Styela clava: one gene and its partner. The protein of the gene in region 1 binds, or shares a complex with, the protein of each later gene. Links are inferred from orthologs where the notes say so. Each region holds a gene or a part of one and is shown on either strand. Other genes may lie near its edges. The genes, in order: exosome complex component 10-like and exosome complex component RRP40-like.

Evidence for each region.
Region 2: exosome complex component 10-like (region 1) and exosome complex component RRP40-like share a complex: the UniProt entries of both Drosophila melanogaster proteins name them as parts of the RNA exosome complex. The link is inferred for Styela clava from reciprocal best matches to the Drosophila melanogaster genes Rrp6 and Rrp40.

Annotation. Positions count from the first base shown.
Region 1 is NC_135262.1:8,879,077-8,891,104, forward strand, and holds exosome complex component 10-like, read right to left. Parts: upstream 4,874-12,028; 5' UTR 4,819-4,873; coding exon 2,437-4,818; 3' UTR 2,163-2,436; downstream 1-2,162. Other genes in the region: L-threonine ammonia-lyase-like, read right to left, coding at 6,887-7,067, 7,595-7,762, 7,936-8,114, 8,422-8,544, 8,698-8,860, 9,179-9,294, 9,652-9,823, 10,504-10,574 and 1 more. UniProt on the Drosophila melanogaster protein: Catalytic component of the RNA exosome complex which has 3'->5' exoribonuclease activity and participates in a multitude of cellular RNA processing and degradation events.
Region 2 is NC_135256.1:11,220,689-11,232,281, forward strand, and holds exosome complex component RRP40-like, read left to right. Parts: upstream 1-5,669; 5' UTR 5,670-5,705; coding exon 5,706-6,437; 3' UTR 6,438-6,860; coding exon of another isoform or gene 6,861-7,046; 3' UTR 7,047-7,854; downstream 7,855-11,593. Other genes in the region: uncharacterized protein LOC120328953, read right to left, coding at 11-189, 793-956, 1,830-1,960, 6,861-7,046; putative protein-lysine deacylase ABHD14B, read left to right, coding at 7,913-8,021, 8,468-9,213. UniProt on the Drosophila melanogaster protein: Non-catalytic component of the RNA exosome complex which has 3'->5' exoribonuclease activity and participates in a multitude of cellular RNA processing and degradation events.

The DNA of each region.
Region 1 (12,028 bases):
TCGAAAGATTAGTGATTGATATGTGTTATTTTTCCATATTTAGTACAGTTCTTATCAAAAAAGTAAGACAATCATTATGGAAAAAATTGGCTGTCGGGCAGTACTAAAATTCCGATATCTCCGTTATTTCTTGACCGTTTATTCCAAACTTGGTATTGTTTTCTATTTTTACTCAGATCTTTCCACTGGAGCAGTTTTTATTTAAATCGGATGAACTTCCATTTTTTTGTAACATACCTACATGAATATCCGCATTAAAGCAGTACAAAAGTTAGTGTGGCTTTTGAAATTGGAGCAGTACGCGAGGGATTACAGTACTGTTAGCACAAAATGCACATTCGACGTTTATTTTAGCACGAAAAACAAACAGTTTCGTCGAAAGCAAGCGCCACGAGTGTACAAGTGTATCGCAGAAAACGTTACGTACTGGTAGCATTCAAAGTCGCAAAAACGAAGTTTTGTTTACAACCACAACTGAAAATCTGTCAGGGTGACAAAAGTGTCTGAGCGGATGCGGAAAGGCCTATTATTACGTCACTTTTCTGCATCTTGCCGATTGGCCAATGTTACGAAATAAACAAGGACGACGATGCTCGTGAAAATCTTCCTTGGAAAAAAATTTAGCCATTTTTGCGTGTTATTGCGGACCGGATAAAATGACGGCCGTAGTTTGGTGACCCCTGATCTAACATACCATTAATTATTTTATAATTTTCATATATATATATATATAAAAATACAGCTCGTTTGTTATCTTATTCTATAACGGTACGCCTTAACATTTTGTGCAATATCAATTTAGGCATTGCCATATTTTCATCTTCGATGAATTGTGGGCTTGCTATAACCTTCGATTAAAATCATGCTTGTTAAAGTCCAGAGGCTGTATTTCTGCCCGTCTTGAAGTTACGAGAAAAGCATATTTACATAACACTTTGTTTTTCACATACATGCATTTCGGTATTGATTCATCATGAAATAGAATGATTTGTTTGATTGATTGCTGTTTAAACAATTGAATGAGATGGTTCCATAATATGTATTTATGTCTTGACTAGTAGAAAGGATATTGAGTTTGTCATCAGTGCTAAAAAAGATTGTCTGTAATGGAATCTGGGCCTGGCTTCCTTGAGAATGGCTGATAAGATGGATCAAATATACCTTGAGCTTTGTCTATCGTAAATGTCGTGAAAAAAATAATCATGGGTTACAGACAGTGTTCCCTCTAAGGTGTGCGCGTGCACACAGCTTACAGAGGCTGCGCACACGCATAGATTTACTGCGCACAGACGTATTTCGATGTAATGTAACAAATGCTCGGTTGGCAGGTTGAGAAAGTTTGTTGTTGGCCCACTTATTACCCGGTTAGAACGCCAAAATTTCTTTATTGGTTTTTGCACAAATATTAGTGATTTCCAAAAAAATGCGCACACCAAAAATAATTTCTGCGCACATATACTACAAAAAATTAGAAGGAACATTGGTTACAGCTGCTGGACTCGGCTTGAAAGCAGGTATTCGTCTTATACGCCCACAAGCAAACAAATTTCGAATCCAGATGGGGTTGTAGTTTGCTGCATAGTTAAACTGCTTCCTGAATAATTAATTACTTAACGTTATCTTATATTGCAATTCCGGATTCGAATACAGGCCCAACATCAGTAATACCTAATTCCATTAGGATTCTATACTCTGAACAAGGCTCTTGACAAGCTGACACTAAACACATGGATCTCTATTTTTTGGTAGATGTGGGAGCATGGAGCGAGACCAACAAACAACAGCGCTCCAGAACTATGTGTACCAATATGGAGGAAATAATTTTGTTCGTCTACTTTACATCAAGTCGTGTAAAGAGACTGAACCCCTATGGGCAGGGTGGATATTCACTTGGATAACAAAGACAGTCCCGAACTAAAATAAAGAAAATTGAGGCCTAATCCGGTACACATACTACGGGAGTATCCAAACAAAACCTCGACTTTACCATAGGTTATCCAGCTTCGTGTCCCTTAGCCCCTGCGTCATACCCCATGACTCGCCAAGACAAAAATTAATGTCTATCAGAAAACCCCCCTTATCCTGATATCCAAAACTACACAATACCAACAGGGTATGTTAATACTTTGCCATACTATCCACAATGCGACATGAAGGAAAAATTGTAAATATTTCCTTTATATTTGGCCAAAAAGACAGTGAATTTCATTAAATGAACTAAATCAGTGCATGCAAAAATTTTGGCAGTCGAGAAGAGTAGGTGAATCCAAATTAAAATTTTTTGAACAGAGAAATATCTGTACCACTTATTATCTTCCAGACGGATCTGATATAGCATCTCTCCATATTCACTACTATTCAGCACATTACGGACAGCTGTGAATTACATTAATTCCATAATAGAATATGACAGTAGGTTGATAATGTCCGAAAATGTCATTTTTTATGATAATGGAATCTTTTATAATGCTCTTGGGTATATTCAAATGGTTGTATATCCGAATTTACTGCAAGTTTCTTCGCTTTCTTTTTGGCATGTCTCGACATCTTTTTATCTTGATTTGGTTGTGGGTGACGCTTCTGTCCATGAACTTGTGGTAAATTACTTAATATAATAACATCTTCTTCTTGTTGCTTTTGTTTTTGTACAACTTTCTTCTCTTCTGCTTGCTCTTGTTTATCACCATGAAGATTTTTCAATTTCCAAGCATATTCAAGACTCAGCATTGTTTTCAAGCTCACATCGTCAAGAGATGTTATACATTTTGTTGGTGCGTTTGGCAAATCATTTTTAGGGGGAAAATACTTTGAAAATGGATCCCAATTTGCTTCTTGCATATGACTGGTTGGATTACTAGATTGACCTGTAAGTAATGGTTGAGGACGACCGTCGTTACAGAGAAATGACGATTGTGGAGCAGTCGATACTTGCGGCGGTTTATGTTTAGTGTTTGGTGTAGAAAGATCAAAATTAGATAAGTCATGTGGGCAAGTCAATATATCATCATAAGCATCTTCATCAGGTTTTGCTGGAACGGGTACTTCAGTCGGTGTGCTGATATGTGATGCATCTGTCTTCTTACCAGAGCCTTTTGCTCTTGCTTCCAAAACTAACTGATGAATTGCATGAACATGTTGACGGACAAGAGGTGGTACTGGATTGCAACATGCAAGTACTCCTTGTGCCTCTCTGGGCATGATTTCAGCAATTTGAAAAAGCATATGATTAGGTAAAACGTAACCAGGGCTTTCATCCTCTTGTCTTGCCATCGTGTCTCTCCACTCAAAAAGCAATTTCAGAAGTTCAAGTTGCTTGTTATTAAGTTGTTTTCTGCTTTTCCGTCTCTCATATAATTTAAGATGTGATGTAGGCGTAAGTAGAAACTTCTCATATTTTCGTAGGCAAACATCACGACTTCTATATAGAGTATTGAGGAGTCTTGTGGTACCAGTACCAGAAGCTTGACCTGTGGCACCCAAGTCCAGAAGTTCATTTTTCATTATATCATACACATATAACAAATAATGAGTATCCTCTTGCGCATACTTTCTCATTTCCTCTGGTATCGGCCGGATTCTCCAATCCGCAAGTTGATATTTTTTATCTGCATGAACATCACAATACTTTTGCAACAAATAATCAAGAGAAAAATGCCCTAAACACATTTCTCTTGCGGCCTGACCAGTATCAAACATGTTAACAACATACACTCCAAAATCGCGCTGCAACCAATGCACATCAAAATCAGCACCATGAAATACTTTTACAATATTAGGATTTGTAAATACTTCATTGAATCTGTGAATTTCTGATCGTAGTTCTAATGTATCGATCAAAAAGTCTTTTGATCTCGACGATATTTGCATGAGACAGGTTATACCTTGGAAAGATCGATAGGAATGATGTTCCAGATCAACTGCAAATTCAGGGCAAGTTTTCAAGTGCTCAATAACATCGAGCAGTTCATTTAAATTCGTGATAACCTCGCATGGCTCTGATGGGAAAGGATCATATTTTTGTGGTTCGACTCTTTGAAGCTGCTTGTTTAAAAATTTCAAATTTGCAAGCTCCGTTTCATATGGGTGACCATATATATTTTGATCTTCTGCGTTATATTCTCTACCTTGTCTTACCAAATTGACAATGGCAAGTGAAACACCACCATCAGATGATTGTGAATGTAAATTTACTAAAGCTTTCGGTAACTGTTTCACAGCATTTGGTTTCTCTGTAATTTTTGGAACAAAAGGTAGATTACTGTTGTCAATTTTATCTTTGAATTTCGTTTGTGGCCTCATAATATTATGTGCATGGAATAATTTGAAAGTTTGTTGTTTGCCATATTTATTTTCTCTGTTCCATGACGAAACAATCGGCTTAGTTTTCGTAATGAAAACTAGAGGTTGCTGAATAACGACATCAGTATCTGGTTGTGAATTGTCCTTTTTCGGTGCAGTAGCTTGTTCTAATAATGTGGATATTTGTTCCAACATCATGTCATTTGCTTCAACAATACGATCGTAATGATCATCTACATCAACATTACCACTACTCGTTTGTCCATCAGTTTGTGGCAAAGTCTTTATTCCTTGATGATGTAGAAATGAGTTGATGTTTGATAAAATCCTTGAACCTTGTTTGTTATAGAATGCGCGAAAACCAGGAAAGCTGCTGTACAAGTCGAAATCATCTGAAGAGTGAGGCAAACTACTACTTGCTTTGATAGTTGTCATTAAAGCACTCAATACTTTTTTTGAATATTCATCAACATCACCCAAACTACCACTGGCAAAACCTTTATCAGAATTAGCATCCATTATTCTGTTATTCCTTTTAATGTTTGAAATACTGAAATAAAAAACGTATAATCAGTTACAGGCTCAATATATTTGAAGTATAGATCTACTGGTATCTGTGTACAGGTGTACGCTCAGACTGTGGTTGATTCAAGTCCGTACTGTGTACCCGTACCGTGACTTTCCTGACTCCTGCAATGCCTGACTGCAGGAAAATCTCATATCACAGTATCAGCATATCTGTGTCAGTCTGAACCGGTTAACGTTCCACCGTTTGATAGGATAGTGGATACAATACAGATAAAGATATGAATGTATGTTGTGGTTAACAGTAAAACCGTACCGTATGTCAGTACAGCAGTATGTAGCAAAATCAATTTAGCCTACAGATTCACCCAAGCCCAAGATATTCTGATATTTATTGCAGTCACTGAGCAAAGCGAATTATTCGGCTATTCTGACATTAGGCTATTAGAAAAATTATCTTCCTAACTTAGCAAGTGTGCGCTACTCTAGTTTAGAGATGCTGATTTTGAAAACGTCTCGAAGTAAAAAAATAAATAGAAAAAATCGCCAACCCGGGTAAATTACAGAATTATGAAAACATGCTCCTGCAACAAAACCAGAAATTCTCGGCAACATTACCTTTCGACCAATAGACTCAAGCACGTGCCGTTCACGAAACCGACGTCATGCCTTTTAATCTTAATCCTGCGGTAAGTACATTATGAGTTTATTTTGACTTAGTTGGAACATATATTATTAGAAGTATATGTAGAGGCTATTTGCAAAAGCATTTATTATAATTAGTGAACTGTACCAGTACCACATTTGTAAATATGAAGGGTTAGTTGGAGGCAACTCGGCAGATCTTTCATATGATAGCGAAAGTGAGGCACATACACACCGGTAAAGCAAACATTTTCACAATCAATTGATAATCATTTATTTATCAACACAATATAAGAACATTATGAGAAACATTGAATATAAAAAATCACGGTAACTAATTTTAATTGTGGGACAGATTTCGCGAGGACCCTCGTATTGCCTTCAAGCAGCGGCACTATCATTACTTCCAGTCAACACAAACTCAGGATCAGGAATCAGGATTAAAATTTTATGTTTAGATATACTTTGTGGCTGTTGAGGGGTAATATGATTAAATATAATTAATATAGTGCTCTGCCTAAAATGACCTTCCTCTCGTTTTCGAAATGCGCTCACGATTGGGATTCACTCGTGAGGAGAATTCCCCGGATGGCTTCAACACAATGGTATGGTAGATATTCAATGGCCTACGAATGGTTTGTTTGATAGCCTCAACGGTTGGCGAGAGGATTGGCGGAATCCTCACCATCGTAGGGTGGTCCTCATCCACTATCAACGCATCTTAAAAAGTTAATAGTAAACTATTTTTGTACCTGACATAGACTCGTGAACGAGCAAGTGGGCGTGGTTCGTCATATGATTTTTGGTTGAGTTGTCTTATCGGCTTTCCTCAGCTCCTGAATAAGTATGAAAGCCCTACCTAATGCAAAAATGTCTGAATGAAACGGGAGAACTTTTCAGTTGAAAACGCTAGGTTCAAAAGAATTTGAAAACAATTAACATGACTGCCAGATTTTATATAAAACCTGCTTTTATTTCTTTTTATTAAGGTGTGACTGCTCGTAATTTTTCGTTTTTAAAGTCTAGTCTAGTTTTCAGCAATCAGCAGTACTCCAAAAAGTCAAATTGTTTTGTGCTGTTTGTGCCAATTTTCTATGTATGGTGTGATTTCGAGTTCAAAAATAAACTATTGGTATATTGGGTCTGTCGCTGATTAAACTGTTTTATGATTCCAGTTGTAATAAAGTAAATAGAAATAAAGCATGAAAAGATAAGCAATGGAAAAATAACCTAAAAGGTCGCGATCAAGTCTATAAAATTACACAGAAATGTGCAAAATATGGACACTCGTAGATTTGATTAGGAGGCAGAGTTGGTTAAATATATGCGTCTGATAACATCACTGCTTTCTGAGGTGTATGTTGCTGTAATATATTATATTACTATATTTCCACTGTTCATCGACACTTTTGGTTTCTTAATGAAGTGCGTTGTCATCGTGAAATTGTTGCCACTTGAGGTCATTTTTGTAAAATTGTTCTAGTTGTTCACGGACTAGTTTTGCATGACCTTTGTTCCTGGTTTCGATGGTGCAGGTAATTGCCGCCATGTAGACGTGAGAAGGCAAAGACATTCTGTCGTGACCAATGTCTTTGATGCTGTAATGTTATGATATATGGACAGTGATTAAATCATTAAAACAAATAAACATCATGCAGCCTCCCTATATAGAATATTATAAATATACATATGCCAATCATGAAATCTTTAGATCCCATCATTCAATCGCTGGCTCAGGGGTGGACTATATATAATTATGATAATTCTCAGTTTATAATTAAAATGGATTTTAATGAATATATATATCAGAGCGTATAGTACCCGACTCTGTTAGCATTTGAAGATCATCCCTCATCATTCCCATTATCCGTACAATAAACAATAGTGGCTATTCGGCCAGACGCTATTTGGTCGTGGTGAAAATGCACTATACACCTCGAGTACCAATGTGACAACCGTTTCAAGTAAATGACATTCACATTCCACTCGAGCCCTATATATATATATATATTTATTTCTTCGAAGATAACATAAGAATCGTTTGCTCCTTCTCAAATTTGCGCACGGATCATAAAATAATATTCCAAAATCAATGCGCCATAACAATCTGTATACGCCTACTTACCTTGCTCCTAAATCAGACAACATATCTGTAAGTCTTGCCAAACCGCCAGGTCGGTCAGTCACAGCCACTAAAAATCGTGATAGCCTTCCCTCTTGTACTAATGCTCGATCTATGACATGTGTCAAGATGTTTGCATCTATATTGCCTCCACTTAATATGCATACAACTCTATGGGAAAGAAAAGGACAAATTCAGTTCGCAATTAGCACAAGTTTCGCTATCGTTAGATTTCAGGTTAATGACAAGCAAACTACTAACGCCACTGTGCAGTACTATACATATTATTAAATGAAACAATAAACACAATGAAGAATTTACTGACACATTGCACCGAAACTCACTTTTTGCCCTTTACTTCAGGTAGTTTATCGGAAAGCAATGCTGCATATCCGATTGCACCTGCTCCTTCCACCACCGATTTTTCTCCTTCCAATAAATGTAGTATGGCTGTAGTAATATACTTTTCTGGAACTGATATGAGCTTATCAATTTGTGCCGTTGCAAATGAGTTATATCCAACCTGTACAAATATTTTCAATTGCGATATTTATAAGATTCGGAAAAAGACTCAATTATTTGTGAGGCATCAATAACGACTAAAGGCATGAGTATGCCTTTTGCTAAATTCAGATATAACACACTTTTCTTATAGCCAGACAAGCGTATAACATAATTTCCTGAAGGAAATTGTTCTGAAACAATGATTTTCAGACACTCGCGCGTGAATGAATAAATGGGGAACACGGAAACTTGTGACGAAAAACCACCGGCAGACAATTCAAAGCTGAGGCACAGCACCGAAAGACGCTTAACATGATACCACTTACTCTCAAAACGTTTAATCCGTCTGCAATCGATTGCGTAGCTCCATTCATAGTACTGCAACATCTGACTGGTCGTCTGTGCTCATTGGCCGTGTGCCACCCTGGACATCGTTCTGATTCGACGCCCTTAAAATTTGAAACTTTTTATCAAGGATTTAGCGCGGCGACGACTAACCAAACATTAATTAAATGCCTGAAGAGAACAATTTCCTGCACTTGTTCATTGCATAAATAGATTTAATATAATACGAATTTGATTCAGTTAGATTTTAAACTTACAATGATCTTGACATTCGGGTTTATATATTTTGCCGCAACCGAGACTCCGGATATCAATCCACCACCACCTATCTGAACAACAATATAGTCTGCATCGGGTACGTCTTCCATAATCTCAATGCCTGCTGTCCCTTGACCAGCCAACACATCAGGATGATCGAATCTTGAAAAAAAGTATATTAAAAATGATAAAATCTCGGCGGGAAATGACGGTTATAGTATCGGTATAAATAATTCAATATTAGGTGAATATACAAGGCAGTGGACGATAATGGGCAGTAGGCTGAATTATTTGGACATTTACTAGACTATTGAGCAGTTAGAGTTAAGAGCGTTAATCAACATTAGCTTATGGTTTGGTACAGTAACGTAAATATGCAGTTTCTATCCTCATTTCAACCTCACGAACATGAGAGACCCTAATTAGACTATCAAAACATCAATGAAGATGTGGCTTCAAAGTAGTGGTATTGAGGTATACCCATCAATATAGACAAGATTTCTCTCATTTCGAAGCGTGAGAGCGCGAAATTTTGCTTCGTCAAATCTGTCTCCGTGAAGAATAACATTTGCTTCCAGGTCTTTGCAGCTATTAATCTTTGAAACAGAAAATAAAAATACTAAAAGAGCGGAAATGATAAAAAATCCAACAGAACAGCATTTATCGAGAAAGATATCGCGCAAGATAAATAAATCACTCTACATTTGTATGAATGGGGCTGTTCAAATTCAGAATACTATACTATCAAACATCTATAGCTGAGGAATTCGTGCAAGATTCAATTGTTCAAGTAATAGCGTGATGTGATTCAAGACGTATAAACGTTTGTTGATCAATAAGCTCGGTTCGAATTTCCAGTGAACTTCCGATTCCCTCTCAAGTAGTCATATAGCTATAGAAAAACTCACGTCCAAATCTGGCGAAGTTTAAATTATCCTCAAAACTGAACCTACTTTCACTAATGGTGTCGTCTTTGGCATGACCACTGTAACCGGTATACCAAGTTTTCCACCTTGATATGCCACAGATTGAGCGTGGTTACCGGCGGAGGTTGTGATTACGCCAAGCTTTCTTTGCTCTTCCGTTAAATTCATCAAGGAATTCAATGCGCCTCTATCTTTGAAACTAGAGAAAAAAAGATAAAATTATAATTACCAAATTCATTATTCAATAAAAATCATTCATGATTGAGTCAAAATAGTTAATGGTGAGTTAATGGTGGATACTCCTCTTTTGGAAAAAGTTAGGTGACTACTATAATGCAATGAGATACTGAAATCATTTATATATAGTGGTACTATAAGTTTCAGAAGGTAAGTAAAACAAATTATATTGTTAACAAGAGAGCTCGAACATATGGACACGATTTGGTATGCAATCTCACGGTAGCCTACCGGTACCGTATCGCAGCTGAGCAGCGAATTTGAACTTACGCGAAAGTGGAACCGCCACAAGAAGCGCAGCTTTTAATTTTGACGAAGTCATCACACAAAAAACAAATCCCATAGAGCCACAGAACTTTTTAAAATAAATAAAAGTAATAGCCTTCTAGCGAAAAATAAATCTTAAACCACTGAGCAAAGCAAGTCACGCGCGCACACTCAAGAGTACTGATACCCTCATCTCTGAGAAAAAGTGACTACTGAAATGATATGAGATACTAAAATTATGTACAATTATCGCAGTGCTTATCGCGCGTTAGTAATTGACGATTGGCACGAGACGTGAAGCAAAAGCTTGAAGTCAAAACATCAGGTATAAAACACAGAAGGAAAAAATTTAAATTAGAACCAACTCTGACTTGCCTTCCAGTGAATTGCATGAACTCTTTCTTGAAGTAAACGTTGCATCCTATACGATCCGATAGTCTGGTTCTCTGTTAATTAATTAATCAATTAATATGATTCTGTTAAAAAACAACACCATAGCTAATTTGAGATTGGTAATATACAATTCAAAACAAACCAATTAAGTATTATGGTTCTAACCGTACATGGAGTTCGTACCACTCCATCTTTTATTTTATCTCGGGCATCAAGTATTCTTCCAGGCGTCACTATCACTGGATTGTCTTTGTTGCAGTATGGATCTGCTAACTCTGGTATATAATCGGTATCAAGGACTTCATCCATTGATATTGTCTCGATTTCAACGTTCCTGTCAAACGAAAAGGCGTAATTGAACTTACTGTTGTGTCCAATATTTTTTTGTCATTTCTATTATAGTCGCTTTATATTCTCTTGCACCTTTTCGAGGCAACGTTTAGACTCCGTGCAACTTGGGTCCTGCGACCGAAGTACTATAACAGTTTCAAAAACTATGTTATGACTGTAATTCTACATGACCCTACCTACCGCTACCAGTCTATGTCAAATAGAGATGGGGATTGCACATTCAAATAAACTACAAAATTGAAGTTATAAAAAAAAATACCGATGCAAATCAATACGAGTTATTATAGAGATAAACAACGATTTGCATCGATTAATTTAATAATCTAATAAGAGAAACGAGCATTTTTAATCGATATTCGATTCGGAGGTATTACCACATCGTGAGCTTCACTATGGCTCGAGGTCTCTGTCAGAGCTCTGGTAAAACTGCTTATGCAACATTTAAAATTGTCTTCGATCGATGTTAGCTACCGCAGACCGAGGAGAAATCTGTGACTGCACTTGGGTGAGCAACATATGGCGGAATACTCCACGCTTTAGTAGCCACAAACACGGTTATTGTCGAGGTAGATAGCTGTATGATGGCAAACGCGCTTGTTTTGGAGTGAGATGATGGCGAAAAAATTTCTGCCGTGGCGTAGGGGATTTTTGACTCGATGGAATAATGGGTGGAATACCACAAGTACGCGTAACAGGTTTTGTGAGCTGAACCCTAGTTTGCTGAAAAGTGCGAGTCTTACAAACTATTACAGTACATTTGATGTATCAATGTAATGTTGACATTTTCAACGGTTGTGAACATTATCACGAAATCAGTATCAATATAGCTGGTCATAACTTAGATTTAAAAACAAGTTAAAACGCTTGACGTTTGACAAAGGTAATGAAAAAATTACGGTATGCCAAGCGGTTAATCATGACAAAAAATGTACTCGGGATAACGAAATTCAAATAGCAATATATATATTTCGAGTAGTGGCCTCCTTGAATACACCAATTAAAGGCAATTAAATTGCACAACTTGGAGAAACGACGCAAATAACTAGCCCATTCAAATTAGTCTTATTGCATTTCATTTCATTTGCAAATCAAATAATATATGCACAAATTATTATCGTATTTCTAATACTTGTTACACTTCAAATTAGGTATGACC
Region 2 (11,593 bases), on another chromosome or scaffold:
ATCTACATACCAGGTGTTGGCTTATCTTGAAGTTTATGAACAACAATCACAGGAGTTTCTCTTCTATTTCTACCGTAGCATCTATAAAATTCTCCTTGCAATTCGGCGAAGCCAATCGTATCGCCGTGTCTTGTTTGGTCAAACAATTGCGTTGTGTGTGAACGTCTGAATCTGTTATCTTCGCCGAGTCTAAGTAGGAGAGCACGAAAAACAGAAAATATTTATCAAACATACGAATTGGAAAGTTACAAGATATTATATATACAAGTACTATATTTTAGTATTTTTCCACGGTCAAATGCTCCATCGCAGGAAAACTGTAACAATTTTAGGCAAGATTTTTCTCGTATATATATAAAGGGTGACCATAAAGTCTTCATTGTTTCAAATTGCAAAGTGAAGTAATCGATACCATAGATTGTTCTGGCCCTCACAGATGTATTGAATGAAGTAAAAATACTTAAATAATTACTGATTAAAAAACAAACAAACCTAGTTAAGATATATTGATTACTGACTTTATACCAAAATTGAAACTGTAAAGGGAATTCATGGACACGCTGTATATATAAATACATCCGTTCGTAGGGACAATTTATTACCATTCCAATTTAGACTTGTATTTATGGAATATTGCGATAAACATTTGTTGTCGAATGTAAAATATTTCGTTAACGAGACAGCACTTCCATCGCCAGGAAAAATCACTCCTCATATTCTATGTATTGTTGCGATTGAATCTCAATGACCTGGGCACACTCAAAAATTTTATATGTAACATCTTCCATTTACCTGAACATGGTAACCGGTCCAGCACCTCCGACCATCAACCAAACTCTACCGTCTGGGGCAGTAAGAATTTCGACGATTTCAGGTGATGAATAGTGGAAAGTCTGAAAAGGAGTGTCGACGAAGCCTTCGTCTCCCCATCGAAATATTTTGACTTCGTTTCCACTCTGTAAAGAAAAGATGCAGATGAAGGTGGAAGCAATCGTAAGACAAAAGCACGACCCAAGTAGTCAGACCTGAACCAGTGGGGAAGAGGTAAATTTACGAAAACGAGAATATCGGTCAGAGACCGAAGACTTATCGATCGAAAGTTAGGCGATTCCCCAAAACAGCGCTCTTACTCCATAGTTACACCTTGTGTTCGATCACTAATTAATTAATAAGTCGCTAATAATACGACATAATTCATCCAAAATCAATAAGCTTCTGGTACGACATATGATGAATGCACATGCAAAATCTGGAGCAGATTCAATCTCGCTTTCGTGAGATATCGCGTGCATCTAACAGACAGACAGACAAACAAATACCTATCAACATACTTAGCGATTAAAATCGATACGTAATAATAGCAGCAGACTACCGGTACCACAGTCTTCAGAAAGCTACCAATGCGAACGCGGAACCGCCACAAGATGCGCAATTTTTAATTTTAATGACGTCATCACACACACACACACACCACACAAAAAAAGAATCACAAAGGGCTCACAGAACCTTGTGAAATAAATAAGACTGATAGCCTTCTTACAACAAATACAATCTTTAACCACTGAATTCGTTCAGTAATTGGAGAGAAAAGCGATTTTTTTCATAACAACAAAAATACCAAAACGATCTATAGGCCCATTTTGTGTCCAATAATAAAATTTGTTAAGGATGTCAAGATGACTATAGATTAGCCTATATAAGTATATTGATGACCGAGCTATGTATGGAATAAACAAATGTCTTTCAAAAACATTGACAATAGTCTGAGCTGTCAATGACAACTCGATTGTAATATAAGGGGGTCGAATTACTCAGACGTTTCTTCATACCTTGTCGCCAGCAACTAGATAAACGACTCCATTTTTACGGAAGGATGCGAGGCCGTAGACTTCTCCGCAAGGTAGTGTTTGATGTTCCCGGAATTTAAACCGAATCTTCTTTGTCTGGCGAGTTGACGCCGCTGTAATGAGTCAAAGAATAATGATTGATTATTGTAGACTAGTATGCATCTTTAAGAGGAAATGTAAACAAGAATTTTCTTCGACCGAGGCGGTGATATAGAAAGCAGTTTATAGGACATTGGATCGTGAAAAATTCAATTCTTTCGTAGTTTGAAGTAATGTTCATCGTGGCACAGATTACAAAAAAAATCTGTTCGAGATGATGCCAAATGCAATGCTAAATTAAACTAATTAAACAAACTATAGACTAGCGCTTTCCAACTGGGGTTGACTTGAAAGTACATTCCAGGGGTTCCGCGAGTTTCCGAGTCTATTTTCATTGTATATATATATATATATCGTTCAGATTAAATAAAATGCCTATTAGTTTTGCCACTTTTATCAAACTTGCTACACTTTTCATTATAGATCTTTTATTTTTGTCAATATTAGGTTTGCTTCTGCATATACGGTATATATATATATATATCAGTGGCGGCGCGTGGTCATTTTGACAACCGGGGCAAGCTACTGCGGGACCAAGTCACCCCCATCTACGGGGGCAGGATGAGCGCTGTAAGTTCTCTTATCATTTTATGAGTATAAAAATCATTCCATCGGTAACAACCAATCGGCAAAAGCGACAATTTTTAACGATAAGAAAGTGTCTTTAAAACCGGTCCAAGTCAAGGGATTAATAAATATAAACATAGTTTATTTTATCCAAAAATACCCATCATCGTGCCCACGGAGGGACAGCTCGTGACAACCAATGAACTTCAAAACATCTATCAATCGACCGAGAACATGGCGGTTTTTCTCGACGTTTTGGTTGTGCCGACGAATAGAAACCGCGCGTCCTTCATCCAACTGTGCTGCAATATTAACATTTCCGAATGTTCGGTATTTTACTGCATTGTCCAGATGCTCCATAGAAGATTGATGATCCCTGGCACGCTCGGAAAGATGTTTAAGATCTCCAAAACCAAATTTACACCAACGTGAGTCACGGGCGGTAGCAAAAAGTAGGCAATAAAAACAAAAAAGTGCATTTTTGTCCTCGCTGTAACACAACCATTCGTGTTTTTTATACCAAGTTTCTGCGCAGAATGTACGCCGACGCTTTCCTCCGTCATGGGATTGTTCCAGTGAACAATTTTTTGGTTGATAAGGCCCAAGACGTTGTACCTCTAATTTTTGTTCCAGCGGCAGCTGCGAAAACGGAGTGCGAAGTAGTGCATCAACCTTTTTCATTATGAGGTCTAAGGCTAAGAAATGCGAAGCCGGAAAGAAGTGAGGAGCTCAAAAGGAATGTGGAAAATCGAAAGCAAATGGACTCAAGGTCTCTAACTGATTCAAATAGCGAAACAAGCGACAAAAACGAAGGCGAGGAAACTATCAACTCTTCAAGCAACCAACGAACGAGAAGGAATGCGTGAATATGTCAACACGTTGTTGTAAGAACGTCGGCATTGTGTCGTCATAATTTCGGGGCTAGCCCCGATGATTTAGTAAAAGAAACAGAAAACAAACGAGACAAACGCGGCGAGTGAAAGATAAAAGAGAGAATACGATATACAATGAGCAACCCGGGCAAAATCGGAGTCGCCCCGTCGACGTTCGGCGAAGGCTTTGCGAGCGAAAAATGAACCATGTCGGGAGAATATGGCTAGTGTAGACAGTCTGTGCAACCGATATTGAGGTATTTTTCGAATATTTTTTATTATACCGAAAAAACAACCGGGGCATTGCGGCATTGCCCCGGTTGGCTCTATTGACGCGCCGCCACTGATATATATATATATATAAGTTAATGCAATCCTGACAATAAAACTATTTCACATGGGTTCTGGAACGTTTCATTGGAGTATCGCCCCACCAATGAGTATGAGAATTGCTGCTACAAAGAGACACAAATTAGAGTAATCTGAGGTGTGAACAAAACTTCTGTTATTTTTATCTATTATTGTTCTATTACATAGCAGCGAATAAAAATTAAGTAATAAATAATCCTCATTTTAGTTTAAATTGTGTGTATCTCACAAAAATTCAGCAATTGATCGTCTTGACGTAATAAACATCAGCATCGGTTAACAATTGACAAAAAATATTTTCATTCGTAACGAAAATTAGGAAAGCGTTTTATTAAATCCAACAAAAACATTATACGGTAAAACACGCAATACGCGGTAAGGTAGATCAACATCGACCGCAAACAGTACCAGCAAGTCATCAAAAGGCGTGGCTTCGCACACACGTGGTTGTTCTGCGCCACCGCATTGGCACAATTAATGTTTGTCGAAGCGAAGCGAGTCGTTATTATTTACAATAGTTATCGAAGATACTCGGCTGTTCAGTAAACGTATAACGTTGTTAGACGCTGGGAAAAGCGGTCGGTTTTATCAGCTACACAGGCTGTAATGTATGTAGATATATGTGAAGTTAATCTACTGGTAAAATCGTGGCTACATATCAAATAACACAGAATATAGTTTTAGCCGCGGGGGCTTTACATAAAGGTATTTCTGCAGAGATGAAAAGTCTCTATTTTATGCCAAACTGATATGTCAGTAATATTTTGCTGTATTATAAGGTCTGAAGGTGTATTTATGTATTTCAGAAATTAAAAATTATGTTCAGTATTAAGCATATAATAGTTTGTGGGATTTTATCAAATTGTTGAGTAATAACGCCAGACCAGATGTTGTAAGCAGTATTATCTCAACTGTACCGGTACTCTTAAGTCTGTAAGTACTCTTATCATATGCTGATAGGATTGTATAAATGTATGGTTCTATATTACACCAGCTCTATTTTAGTCTGTTGTGGCTTATTGCCCATATTCATCACTGTCATACAATAATTAAAAATTAACAGAATTGTGTTAAACATAACTAATATATGATTGAATATTTTAGGATAGGATTTACATATTTATCCCGGGGGAGAGGAAGGGCGATGAGATGGCTTATCCATATGGCGAACCACGGCCATTTTACATAGTAAATTTATTATAAATGTTCCATTGTTTCCTATTTTAAATGCTGTGTATCTGAATCAATAAAATCATTTTACAAGTTTCTATGTTATTTACTTTCTGTTAAGTAGTGTCTGCCTCTATTGTTACATAACAATAGACATGCAATTTCACGAGCTTTAGTTTTTTTTGATCTGCTGAACTGAGTTTAGCGAACATGAGAGATTTTTAAACTTTTTTAAAAAAAAATCAGGCAGAGCTGAAGAAGAAGAGTTGACTTTTTGCCTTTATTCCTCATGCCTACCATTTTACAAAGTTTAAAGGCATAAAGTAGACATTAACTATTACAAAATTGAGTTTTATCAAAGGCAGCATTTTTTTTTCGTGAGAGCGTGCCGTAAGTTTTGTCCCTGATAATTTGGCGTCTCACAAACAAAACGTTTGGAAACTTCTGGACTAGGTATTTTTTTCAATTAAAATTTGAAAGAAATATTACTGTATTATATACCATTTGATATATTCTGAACAAGAGTCAATGAAATTAATATACATTTTCAATATTAGATGAAAAAGGCAAAATTTTGTGCATTATTAAACCAGAAGACCACTCATAAAATTGTATAATCACCTAGTCGAAATAGCAAAGATTCATTTTTTTTTTTAAATCGGACCGATTATTCCGGACCACATTGTTCTTACCCGTTTGATCTTTGGTTTTATTAACACCAATTTTCTTCCTTCCATATAGTATTATTCTTACCTAGCCTAATTTAAGTTCACTGTTAAAAATGAAATGTCCAGCCAAAGAGTTAGATGCAAGTGTTGTCATGCCTGGTGACATCATAACAGAACAAGTATTGGATTTAATCGGCAAAAATGAAAGAGTAAAACTCGGACCTGGTCTTAGACAAGGGAATGACAGTATTGTCGTTTGTAAGTCTGGGATTCTACGACACAAACAGCCTAGCATGTTTTGGATAGACAGTCATCAGAAACGTTATGTTCCAATTAAGGGTGAAAACGTTTTGGGGGTTATTGTTGGTAAAATTGGTGATGCTTACAAAGTAGACATTGGAAGTAGCGACTATGTCGTTCTTAATAATTTATTTTTTGAGGGTGCTACGAAACGAAATCGACCGAATCTTGTAAATGGAGATATAGTATTTGGAAAACTAATATCTGCAAACAAAGACATGGAGCCGGAATTGAGTTGCATTGATCAAAGCTCAGGAAAAGCAAATGGAATGGGTCCTGTACCTTCTAATGGATTGTTGATAACAGTTCCACTTAATCTAGTTAGGAAAATCTTATCCCCTGATTGTGTTTTGTTGCCAGAAATGGGGAAATATTTTGGTTTTGAGACCCTAATAGGAATGAATGGTAAAATTCACCTAACAAGCCACAGTGATAAACATATTATTGCTATAATGAATATGATAACAACAGCTGAATATATGACAAATGAACAAATTCTAGAATCACTAAGTTCAAATACAGCAGACAACTGGCAAACTGCTTAAATACTCGTTAACAAAATGAGAAACGAGCCTTTTTCTACAAAGTAACTGGTGACAATAAAGAATGACAATTAATAATGCTGATTGAACTGGAGTATTGTCATTGTGTTCAAATATCCAATGTCATATTTAAGTAGTTTCAAGCATTCATCTTACATACGAGTTGGTTATATAACCAATCTTTACATAATCATATCATAGCCAAGGCAGAGTAAAGTCACGGCAACTTTTCATTGTCAGTGTGGTTAATATAATGGCAAATTTGTTCTATTTATGCAAATATGCTCTGTTTCTGGGATAAACCTATGTAGGGCTCTTATAACATCAGTGGTCATTATGGATTTTCTGTCAATACTTTTTCACTTTTAGTTAAAAGCTTATTAGTTTGGACAAACATACATGAAAAAATTCAGTAAGTTTAATTACCTTTGCAAACAGCAGGCTGGCCCGACCAAATTCCCTTTTCCATGCAAGTGTTGTACGAACTGCCAACAAGTTTATATCCATTGTCACATTGAGTGGTACAACGAAGAGCTCTTCCTCTTGGTAAATCAATCATTTTGCATGTACGATCTCCATGTAATGGAACATTGAGATGCTTGCATACAGGAACTGTAAAAAAAACATACAATTGAGAATGCGATAATCAAGGAGAAAGAATTTTTTTAAAAGCTAAATTCTCTGTATTATAGCATATGCATGTTGCACCTATTTTACATGCTTGTTGTGATGCTAATATTTATTTCATCGTTTCATGCTTTGTATCATGTTACATGTATACCTGTTGTTAAACAACATTACCATCCTGCGGGAATTTTTTAATTAATTCTTGTTGTTATTGCTAATTTGTGTGGGCATACCAATGTCTCTTAAACTACAGTAATTATGTTCAGAACCTGTTTTAGAATTCTTTTCGAGATACCTTACATGGATAGATATGTTGTTTATGAATAGGGTGTTATATTTAGCTTCCTGATTGGATAAATAACAGATAATCAATCATATTCAATTTGCGAATTCTCTTTGAAAAGGTTGATGTCGTGGTTTGACTGCCCTCAAGTTTCAATCAAGAAGCTAAAATTAGGTGTTAGTGAGAATGTACCCATTATAAGTTCATAGTCATATAATTGAAATATTCCATTTTTTCAGATATTATCTGAACAACAGGGTTATCCATAGAATAACAAAAACATCAAACAACTCATGCGTATTGCAACACTCCTAACAGTCTAAGTAACTGTTTTGCTGATTTTTGAATAAAAAATACCCTTTGTAACCTTGAAAGCTGATTATGTTCTTATAATTGGCTTTTAATATTCTTTAAGGTCATGCAAAATTCTTTCTCCCATAAGAGGTAAATGCGCCTTTTTTAACACTGTCAATATTTCTAGGTTAACTGTCTTATTTTTCACTTTCAAGATGTAATTCAGGTGTTTAAATATAAATGCTTGGCATATTGTAAAATAAACAACGCAACCATGAGTGCGGAGGTAAATAAACGAGGAGTGGTATTGACTTTATTAATCCTCTCAAGTATATGTTATATTTTATACTCCAACAGTGATGAAATTCAAAGCGATTCAGCAAGTAAGATTTATTATATATTGGTTTAGGTCATCCACAATACATTTATAAGTAACCTATACAAAATTTGTATTGTTGTTTGTCCAGAATGAATCAGACAGCAAGAAATCAGGTGTAAAAATATTTAACCTGAAAGATCTATATCTTTGACAAAAATTGTCACTGAATTCTTATCTTTAATGACATAACATTATGTATGACACTTATTTCAGGCCTATTTGCTCCAACAAGGCCCTCTATAATCAGCCCCTGTTATGTATGAACCTTCATTTTTGAAAGAACATAATTCATTCTGGATCAACATTACCTACCTAACTTATCACACGCTCGGTAGGTATGTGGGCAAAGGTTTTAAACCAAAGATGTGTAAGCTGCAATGCCAACTTAGTTGGCCCCGTTTTGACCACAATAAGTGTAAATTCAAAACTATTTTTTCTATTGTTTCTCAGTTCAAGTGGATGCACTATCGATGATCAAAGCAAAACAGAAACTTGATAAATTAGGACCTGAGTTGGCTGATAATGAAAAGGACGAAGTCGATCCAGAAATAGGACTTGACGTTGAATATGTTGAAGATTTTGTTTTAATTGATGGAATCAATGTGTTTTATTCATATGCAATGAGTACGGTAAAGAATCAGCCACCACCAAGGTTTGCAGTGTTATTATTACATGGTGCGGCCTATGAAGCAAACACATGGAAGTCACTAGGAACGTTACAGTTTCTTGCGAAATCTGGTTACTTTCCTATTGCTGTTGATCTTCCTGGTTTCGGAAAGACAAAAGCAGACAAACGCATAGATCATGAAGATGCTTTTTTGTCAAAGTTAATTAAAGCATTACCTCAAACAGACAGGCCTGTTATTATTTGTCCTTCCATGAGTGGCAGATATGCTTTGCCATTCATGTTTAAACATAGAGCAGAACTACGTGGCATTGTACCGATTGCACCAATTAATGGTAATCATTACAAGAAAGAAGAATATGAACAACTACACATTCCTGCTCTGATTTACTATGGATCATTAGATGAGCATGGTGCTAAAACTAGTAATCTCATGGCCCATATTCCTGGTAGTAGGATAGTGGAGGTCCCAAATGGCATGCACCCTGCTTATTTGGATGATTTAATCCTATTCCATACTGAAGTGAAAAATTTTCTCGATAATGTTTATAAAAAAGAAATGGCTTCTTGAGTGTGTCTGATTTTATTTGCACATATTATTATATGATGTTTCCTAATTGGAGCAATAATTCTACAAATAACAGCCTTGCTTACATTATGGATGGTGGAAATGGTACTATAAAATACATCTAAGCCAGTATTTGGTTCAAAAATATAACAAATGTAATCCGATTTTATTTGCACATATTATATGTTTCCTAATTGAAGCATTAATTATACAATAACAGCTTTGCTTGTATATGGTTGGGGGAAATGGTACTATAAAATACATCTAAATGATTTCTAAGCCAGTACTTGGTTCAAAAATATAACCACTGTAAATCTTTTCCTCGTGGCAGAAAAGCAGTACATTTTTATTCAACTTAAAATATTCAATATTTGCGCCATGGAACAAAGGAATTTTTTCTAATACATTTACAATAATCAGGCAATCCATTTTGAAATATCTAGTTTGTGAAATTTTGAATTAGAATGTGCCTTGGTTTGAATCTAAGTTTTGATTTCCAAACAAATTTTTGGATTTTTCAACGACAGCTGCATTGTTTTCATAAAATCAAGCGAAATCGCTTTTTACAATTATTCATGATATTTTTTTAAAATGTATGTTTTCCAATAAAATAAAAAAATTGAATCACAGTTTGTCAACCTACATGGTATGGGTTTAATTTCATGCGATTGATTACGACATCAGTAAAATTGCTTGCCTGCATGGAACTGATTATTTCGTGAAATCAACATAGGTAGGTAAAAGAAAGCAGTGACTCTCAAGCAGGGGGCGTGTTGACAGTTTTTTGAAGTGGCGTGAAGCTAAATAAAATTATGGTTGTTAGATTGGATCCTGCCCGCCTTATTTTGGATATTTATACTGGATATTTATGTTCCATCCACCTATTTTCAACGTGTTATTTTTTTTTTTTAATAAAACGTACTTTCTTTCGCCCTGTTATATCTCTGTTATTTGTAGCTTATTGTTAGCTAGTTATTTTTGAGGTGGGGCGCAAGATGGACAAGTTTGAGAGAGCTATTACCGTAGAGAAATAAAACGACTAACAAAAATGATCATTCTGAATACCTAAATTGTATCAGATAAAGTTTACGGACACAAATGTACAGATGTACTTTTCTCCACAATCGTAAATATAGTGTCATTAGTTTTTAACGGGGAAAATCGACAATAGACTCCGGGTCATAAAAAATTACGATCTTAGCTCAAGAGAAAAAACATTGTCAAGAAGTCTCAGTAAATTGCTCTTCGAATTTCCGAGGAAAGTTTGACTTTGGTATCATCATTGAAAATATGAAATTCAGACTTTCTAGTCGTTAAATAATTACAAATAAATGATGGAAGCAATGTCCGTCGGTGGTCGCCGGCGAGTATCAAATCACGAATTTATGCGAAGCAAATCAAAAATGTATACTCTTCGAATATATTTTCTAACAATTTTACAAATTATTTCATCCGGTTATTTTTTTGCTAATTTTATTGGAACTCGTTTTTGATTACCACAACATTTGTGACCGGAAGAGTCTGTTTGTGTCGTCAACACGAGAGCAATGCTCAAATATATGGCCACGAAAACCAAAACGAAACAGTAGTCTACTTTACCTTTTACACTACCGGTACCGTCAAAAAAGTTTCGACTTTCGCGTAGCAAGAGCGTAGCACGAGAGAGGTCGAAAAACCGCTACTAATAACTTGTATTAATTTTCAGGTCATCACATAGCCGCCCCACAGAAGGTTTTGAAATGAATAAAAGTAATAGCCTTCTAGCGAAAAAAAAACAATCTTGGAATATGAAAACATGGGCATGTTTTAAATAATTATATAGGCGGAAATTCCCCCCTCTTTATAAACAACAAGAAGGAATATACCAATAAGAACAACACCATAATTACAAAAACAATCCATAGGTTCATTTCGTGTCCAATAATATACACGTACCACACTGGAACAGATGACTCGATCGATGTACGGGTGCTAGTAAATTTGTTTAAAAAATTATAAATATTAACAGTAGATACTCCAGCTGTACTTTCACACACAAAATACGTTCAAATAATGAAGCGTTATCGGTATCTATGGTTACAAAGGATGAATATTATCCCATTATCGTGTCATAGCTGACAAAAATCTCAGCATAAATACAACATAAATTCATAATGCCGGCGCCATTAATAACTTTATCAGAAGAAGATCATGTTTCAAATGGTGCACGAGGTTCAATGGATAATCCGCAAACTGTCGACCAAACTCATTGTTTATGATTTTTGGTGTTGGACGCTTTTCAATATAATATATTAACAACACACAAATTTTATATTTGAAACGACAATGAAATGTCTCGGTTAGATGAAATAGTACACATCTTTAGAAAGAAATTTCTCGGCGC